2 linked regions of the Macaca mulatta genome follow. The protein of the gene in region 1 binds, or shares a complex with, the protein of each later gene. Links are inferred from orthologs where the notes say so. Each region holds a gene or a part of one and is shown on either strand. Other genes may lie near its edges.

The links. Proteins that work in one complex are often made in the same cells at the same time.
Region 2: USH1C (region 1) and CDHR5 share a complex: the UniProt entries of both Homo sapiens proteins name them as parts of the IMAC/intermicrovillar adhesion complex. The link is inferred for Macaca mulatta from reciprocal best matches to the Homo sapiens genes USH1C and CDHR5.

Annotation. Positions count from the first base shown.
Region 1 is NC_133419.1:47,957,339-47,960,984, forward strand, and holds part of USH1C (harmonin), read left to right. Parts: intron 1-153; coding exon 154-636; exon of another isoform or gene 637-762; coding exon of another isoform or gene 763-867; exon of another isoform or gene 868-893; intron 894-3,646. UniProt on the Homo sapiens protein: Anchoring/scaffolding protein that is a part of the functional network formed by USH1C, USH1G, CDH23 and MYO7A that mediates mechanotransduction in cochlear hair cells. Required for normal development and maintenance of cochlear hair cell bundles.
Region 2 is NC_133419.1:517,736-521,481, forward strand, and holds the start of CDHR5 (cadherin-related family member 5), read right to left. Parts: upstream 2,330-3,746; 5' UTR 2,242-2,329; coding exon 2,157-2,241; intron 2,067-2,156; coding exon 1,891-2,066; exon of another isoform or gene 1,878-1,890; intron 1,621-1,877; coding exon 1,570-1,620; intron 1-1,569. UniProt on the Homo sapiens protein: Intermicrovillar adhesion molecule that forms, via its extracellular domain, calcium-dependent heterophilic complexes with CDHR2 on adjacent microvilli. Thereby, controls the packing of microvilli at the apical membrane of epithelial cells.

The DNA.
Region 1 (3,646 bases):
GTGGCAGAGGACTGGCACCCCATTGTTCTGGTTTAAGGGTAGTGGGTCTCCAGTAGCAAGAGAAACAGAGTAGAAGAGCATAGTGCTCGATGTATTGCGAAGTGGAGCGCTAATCAGAGTCACAATTACAGAACTTCCTTGCAATCCCCCCAGATGACCACAGGGCCCCCACCTCCTCTGCCTTCTGTGTCTCCCCTGGCCCCACCCTTGAGACGCTTCGCAGGCGGACTGCACCTGCACACCACTGACCTGGACGACATCCCTTTGGACATGTTCTACTATCCCCCCAAGACTTCCTCTGCCTTGCCTGTGATGCCCCACCCTCTACCCTCCAACCCACCCCACAAGGTCCCAGCGCCCCCTGTCCTTCCCTCATCTGGCCATGTGAGTGCCTCGTCTTCCCCATGGGTGCAGCGCACTCCACCCCCCATTCCCATCCCTCCCCCTCCATCCATTCCCACCCAAGACCTCACTCCCACCCGCCCACTGCCCTCGGCACTGGAAGAAGCACTGGGCAACCACCCCTTCCGCACTGGGGACACAGGCAATCCAGTGGAGGACTGGGAGGCAAAGAACCACAGTGGGAAGCCCACCAACTCCCCTGTCCCTGAACGGAGCTTCCCACCCACCCCAAAGGTACTCTCCCTGTTCTGCATGCTATGTTTGGAAGTAGGAAGAGTGGGGAGAACTGCTGTTTCCCATGTCCTCCACTGCTCCTGGGAGTGGAGACAGAAAGAAACATCATCTCACCCCATTTTCCAGGAATGTCCCCTCCGTGTGCATGTGTGGACATCCTGCATGTATATGGTTCCCACTGATTTTGAAGTGCTGTATTGTATGATGAATGGCCTGGGACCTTTGGGGTAAGCAACAGTGTGTCCATTTGATATTCATTGCTCTCTCTTGGCTCTTCTTTGCTAGTGTAGGCTGGTAACTTTCAATGCAGGACTTGGAAGGCTATGTTAATGAATAGCCAGCACTCTGTCACATCCAGTCATTTCCTGATAGTATCCCAGAAAGCCTTGAATATGGGAAATGACTCCTGATCTAGCAGGAGAAAAGGGAGGGGAGGAGGAAGCAGGGCACGGGTAACGCTGTACCATCAAATGCAGTGTTAGGACACTCCAGTGCCGTTTTCTACGGTACTGGCCAACTGCACTGCTTGAAGTGTAACACCCAGAAATTTCTGGCCAATTTCCCGCTATAGAAAAAAATGAAGAGAGAGTTCCTAGAAATAATTTACTATTAAAAGAATAGGAATGTTTTTCTTGGATGTTAGGAAGATGAACAATGTCTTTCTGAAAAAGACATATTTCTTATTAATTATTCATAATCCAAAGACTATTTTGAAACATGCAATCTCTGAGGAAGACACGGAGCTTGGATCCCATGAAGGGAAAAGCAAAATATTATTCCGCTCCCGTAGCCATGAGGCCAGGCTTAAGTCAGTGCAAAAGCATCTCATGTCAGCTGACGGTAGCAGGGTTGCTGAGGGAGGGCATAGTCAATAGCACCTGACCAGTGGTTTTTATTAACCGTCCCTGCATGGATTTGAGTTCCTGCATGGAGAATGGGACAAGTATCTCAGAGCACTCAGGAGAGCTTACAAGGAAGGTGGGAGTGAAGAAAGTGCCAGATGCCAGCAAGGCTGCAGCTTCCAGCGGGAGACTCTCAGAGGGACCCTTTCCGGACCTCTGGTTGGGATTGTGAGCCCTGCAGCTTCGATAGGAAGAAATCTGCCTGTTCTGGGGACATCTTCCCCCAGAGCCCAGCCAGGAGCTGGTTTCTAGGGCTGAGTTAGCCTTGCACATTTTTCTCTGTAAGTGGCCTCCATCAAGATGAGCAGGCTTTTCCTCAACAAATTTGATTCCACATTGATTAAGTACCTGCCTGGGGCCTCTCTCTGTGAGGGGAAAAGGGGAGCAGTGCTGAAGAGGATATGGAGGAGATTGACATGCCTGTGCTTTCCAGGACTTTGCCATCTGAAGGATGAGCTGCTGCCCAGGCAAGCTTCTGCTATAAAATATGCATAAGCCATGTGCTATGGGAGGGATTCATTCTAACTGAAGGTTGAAGACACCTCTGTGGAGTAGAGGGCTTACGAGCTGAGCCTTGAGGGGTGGCAACACGTGGAGGATGGGAGCAAGGGCATTGTAAGTGCAGGGAACATAAATATGGCAAGTTGGAGTAGCAGGGAGTCGGACTGCCTGGGTTTGAATCCTGGCTCTGCCACTTACTAGCTAGATGACTTTGAACACATGCTACTTCATCTATCTGAGCCTGGGCATCCCTGTCCAAAAATAGGAATGTTAACGGCAGCTACCTATTCGAATCAAATAAGTTAATATATGAACACATTCTAAGTTAAGAATGGCAAGAGAGGCAGGCACATCGTGCATGTTCAGTAGACATTAACTATGGTTATTGATAGTCCAGAGTACAAGAAAATTTGGGTGAAGCTACAAACCTGGGATCTTAGCAATCTCAGTTAGTCTCAGCAAAACTTTGAGTCAGGGTCAAGATTCAAGACGGAGTTCAGATTTCTCAGATTCTTCAAGGCATCACGAAGTTCCCACTGTTAGTTCCTGATCAGAGCCCAGGGAAGGCAAAAAGCCCCCAACATAAGGAGCCTCTGAAGAACTGGACCGTAAATGTCGTAAGCGACATCAAAGCCAGGGTTGTCCCAGCCTCAAAGGCCAGGGGGTTGTTGTTTGGTTGGCTTCATCTGGCCCACCTCTCACCCTTGTACCACCCACCCTCTTCCTCCCTGCATGCCCCTGGCAAAGTGTCATCAGTGCTGCAGCAGGAAGTGTGAGTGACCACACGCCCACACAGTCGGCCCAGCCACCAGCAGGCCCCAAGTCATGGAAACAAACGCCTGTGTTGGCTTGACACTTGTGCCTGCCACATCAGCACCTGCCATAGGGGGGTTTTCAGGGCCAGATCTGTCCACAGGCACTGTCCCATGTGCTCACCATACTATTTAATCATTCATTTATTCATTCAACACATGCTTATTGAGCACCTACTATATGCCAAGGCACTATGCAGGGCACTGGGAGCCCCTGCTAGATAGACAGCTGTAGTCTCCCTTCTCAAGACAGTCTGGTGGGAAACAAAGAAAAGTAGGCACCCGCCACACCATCAGGGTGGAGATGGAGGAAGCACAGGTGCTATAATAAGGAAGAGGGGTGGAGGAGAGGAAAGCTCAAGGGAGGCTTCCAGAAGGCAGTGATGCCCAACCTAAGACCTGGGAGGTAAAGCGGAAGAAGGAAAGAGCACATGTAAAGGCCTCAAGGCAAGAAAGCCTGGCATTTTTTTGAGGTTAAAGCTAGGCAGTGTGAGGAGGGTGGTGAGGAGTGAGAGATGAGGCTGAAAAGGAAGATAGAGAAGCTCATGAAAGGCCTTGGGGGTCAGGCCAATGAGCTCAGTAGTGGATGGGGACTCTTGGGAGGGCTTGGGGCAGGGTTGTGAACTGATTTGATACATATTGCCCAAGGAGATCAAGTGGGTTAGAGCCAAGCAGACAGGTTGCATCAGCTCCCCTGGATGCTACTCTTACTGGTCCTTACTCCATGGCCTCTAGAGACTATGTGCCTACCCACTAGGAACAGCAGATGCTTCACACTGTGGTCCAGGGACTGGA
Region 2 (3,746 bases), about 47 Mb from region 1:
CATTCCAGCCCGGGCGACAGAGGGTGACTCCATCTAAAAAAAAAAAAAAGGCCGGGCGCGGTGGCTCAAGCCTGTAATCCCAGCACTTTGGGAGGCCGAGTCGGGCGGATCACGAGGTCAGGAGATCGAGACCATCCTGGCGAACACGGTGAAACCCCGTCTCTACTAAAAAATACAAAAAACTAGCTGGGCGAGGCGGCGGGCACCTGTAGTCCCAGCTACTCGGGAGGCTGAGGCAGGAGAATGGCATAAACCTGGGGGGCGGAGCTTGCAGTGAGCTGAGATCCGGCCACTGCACTCCAGCCTGGGCGACAGAGCCAGACTCCGTCTCAAAAAAAAAAAAAAAAAAGAAGGATCCCGGCCAGGCACAGTGACTCATGCCTGAAATCCCAGCACTTTGGGAGGCTGGGGCGGGCAGATCACCAGGTCAGGAGTTTGAGATCAGCCTGACCAACATGGTGAAATCCTGTCTCTACCAAAAATACAAAAATTAGCCAAGCGTGGTGGTGGGCGCCTATAATCCCAGCTACTCGGGAGGCTGAGGCAGGAGAATCACTTGAACCCGGGAGGCGGAGGTTGCAGTGAGCCGAGATCTCGCCATTGCACTCCAACCTAGGTAACAGAGCGAGACTCTGTCTCAAAAAAAAGAAGCATCCCTCTCTTTCAGAGACACATGCCAAGATATATGTGGGTGATGTGCTGTGGTGTGCGGTGGGCACAGAGCCCTCTGTCTGCTGGTAGGTGGGGGGGGGGGCGGGGGCCTGTGCTGGCCTCAGGATTCTGCAATTTTCCTTAATAAAGCCGAAAAAAATGCCGCTGGTCAAGAAGTAGGATGTTGGGGGAGCGGGGCTGGGATGCAACTATTCCCTAATAGGGCGGTTGGGATTTCTCTGAAGACTGCAGACCTGAGCAGGTGGGGGAGGAGCGTGCCTGCGGGAGCTCTGAGGCTGCAGCAGAGCCTCCGCACAGTACATCTGGGTTTGACTCTCAGTGAGAAAGGAGCTGTGGAGGGCTGGGGTGGACTGGGCAGCCTTGGTTTACAGCGTCCACAGAGGCTGTTCCGCCACATGGAGTGGACTGGGACCGGCAAGGGGCAACAGGGAAGCCAGCGGGCCGGCTGAAAGTTTCCCAAAATGAGTGCTGGTGTCCCGGCCCTGGTGGGACTGGAGGTGGGCAGACGATGGATTTCTGGGTCGAGCTGGGGCAGAGCCAAGTGATTTACCAATGGGGAGCTTAGCGGGGGACGTGGGGAGGGAGGGCGAGTGGAAACCAAAGTGGTTCCAGTGGCTGGCAGGATAAAGGTGCCTCCCTTGTGGGGGCAGTGGTGGTTGAGGGAGTGGGTGGGAGTCGGGCACACTGGGTGGGGGTATCTGCTGGACAAGGGATCAGTGACGGGGATGCCACAGTTCAGGGCAGAGTCTGGACTGGAGGAAATGTGAGCATCACTCTCGGAGGGATGGCATGTGAAACCACACCCTAGGTGAGGTCATCAGAGACTGGCCCTGGACCGGCAGGGCAGAGCCCAGCTGAGGTGGCCTGGTGGGCGGGGAGAGTGGGGCAGGGACTCACCGGTGTGCCTCCGCTCTGACACAGCAGCTGAGCCTCAAGTAGTGAGTTCTCCTGTGGAGGCAGACGGGTCTGCAGTCACTGTCCCGCCCCACAGGTGGTGAGACTGAGGCCAAGGGGGCAGGCGCTGGCCCAGGGTCCCCATCATCAGTGGTCAGTGCTGAGGGTGTGGGCCCAGCCTTCTGGGGCAGGCACCACCAAGCATGGGTGTTAGTGGATGCCTGCAGGCATAGAACTCCTGGGCCCCCCGGGGAAGGTGTGGCCTGAGGATCCAGGCGCCCTTCTCCTGGGAGCCCCCACTCCCCACCCACCTGCCGCCCACACCTCGTAATCAGGAGACACGTTGAGAAACAGCTGGTTTCCCTGGATCCGAAATGCGAAGGGGGTGGACAAGGGTCCGAGGGTCACCTCCTGGCCCTCTGGGACATGGATGTCCACCAGCGGCTCGGTGACATTTGTGTTCTCCTCGACTTCAAAGAAGGACTTGTTCACAGAGCAGTCTGTAAGGTTGCAGAGGAGGGGTCAGCGCCTCCCAGCCCCTGGCTCCCCCTGCCCTGTGCCCCCACCTACCTACCCCTGCCCGCACGTACACTGGACCTGGGCCACGGTCCCCGGGGGTCGGCCAAGCAGCCCCGTGAGCAGCAGGGGAGGCCACAGCAGGGCCCAAGACCCCATCTTGGCGGCTGTCACCTGGCGGGAGGGTCCGAGTGGGTTTGGCGTCCAGGACTGGCGCAGTTCCTACCTCAGCGACCTTCGCCCCAGCCAGACGCCGCCCACTTTATGATCCTTTACAACCGGCCTCTGCCAAGGGGGCTCCCGCTGGCCGGCGGGTCCGGCCCACTGCCAGAAGGGGGGCAGTCATTTGGCCCAAGTTAGACTGAGTACAGGGATTAACCAGGGGGCTCAGGCCACAGGCACCGAGGCACAGGGCAGAAAGGACTAGAGAATGGCTCACGGGCGCCATGGGGCTGGGGCAGGGCAGGGGCAGAGCTAGGGTGTTGGAGAGAAGCCGTTGGTGTTGGGGTGTCTGAAACCTGCCTCCCTAGCCCAGGCTGCCCTTGCTTGGCTCCTCCCCTAAGCTCTACCTCAGGCAAAATTCCTAAGGCCAACCCTTGAGGCTCAGAACCTGGGTGTTCGCCCGGGAGTACCTCCCTGCCTGCCTGATGGCAGGTTCTGCAGGAAGAGACTCTCCTCACTGTGTCCTAGGGACACCCCTGCCTGCCTGCCCCAGAGACAAGCCAGCTTCTCAGGGTGGGGCTGGACAGGGCCTTAGTGACCAAGGCTAAGGCGGGGCTGTGGGGGGCAGCTGGGAGCTCCTGGGGAGCCCTGGTGCCCAACAGAGGGGGTGAGGTGAGTCTTGACACTTGCCCTGCTCTTTTCATTGGCCCCCGCAAGCCCCCAGCTCTAGGGAGAGGCCACTGGCTGGGGTCAGGGCGAGGAAGGGGCTGTCGTGAGGCGGGGAGTGGAGTCATTCCTCTCCAGGCCTGTGCACCGAAGCTTCTGGCCTCTCGTGGCTGGGGCTGGGCTCAGTGTCCCAACCCTGCACTGTACCCTCATGGTCGCCTGCAAGCCCTGCACGCTCCATACGCCACAGGCTCTGAGGGGTCAAGCCACTGGTCTGAGGCCACACAAGACAGAGGGTCCGGAGTCCTCATGCCAGAGTGGACTCCTGGCACCCCAGGTGACACCTCTGCCCTCCCCTCTTCCTGCCCGCCTGAGCCTCCCTGGCCCCTCCACACCCTCCCCACTGCCCCTTCCGGAAACACTGACCACACGCCACCCCCCACCCCCCTGCAGGAGCTGAGAGTCTGTCCGGGCTTCCCCTGAGCCCTTGACTGTTTCCTAATGAAGACAAGGGGGGGGCGGGGCCCTGCGGTGCTTAGTCGATGTACAGGAGGCGGCACTGATGCCAGAGATAAGGATGAGGGGCCCGCTGTGGCCGCCAGGTGTAAAGGGCAGCTGGGTGTGGTCACAGTCCCGGCTGGGTGGATGGGGCCCCCTTCCATCTGACAGCCCTGCTACACAGGGGTTGCCTCGATTACACCAAGTGGACACAACCAACTCCCAGTGTCTGGATCTGATTCTCCTTTATTGGTGCCGAGTTCCACCCCTCCCCCTCTCCCCCCAGCCTGCCCACCACCCCATATGCAGCTCCGCTCGTAGGCTGGGCAGGTGGTGAG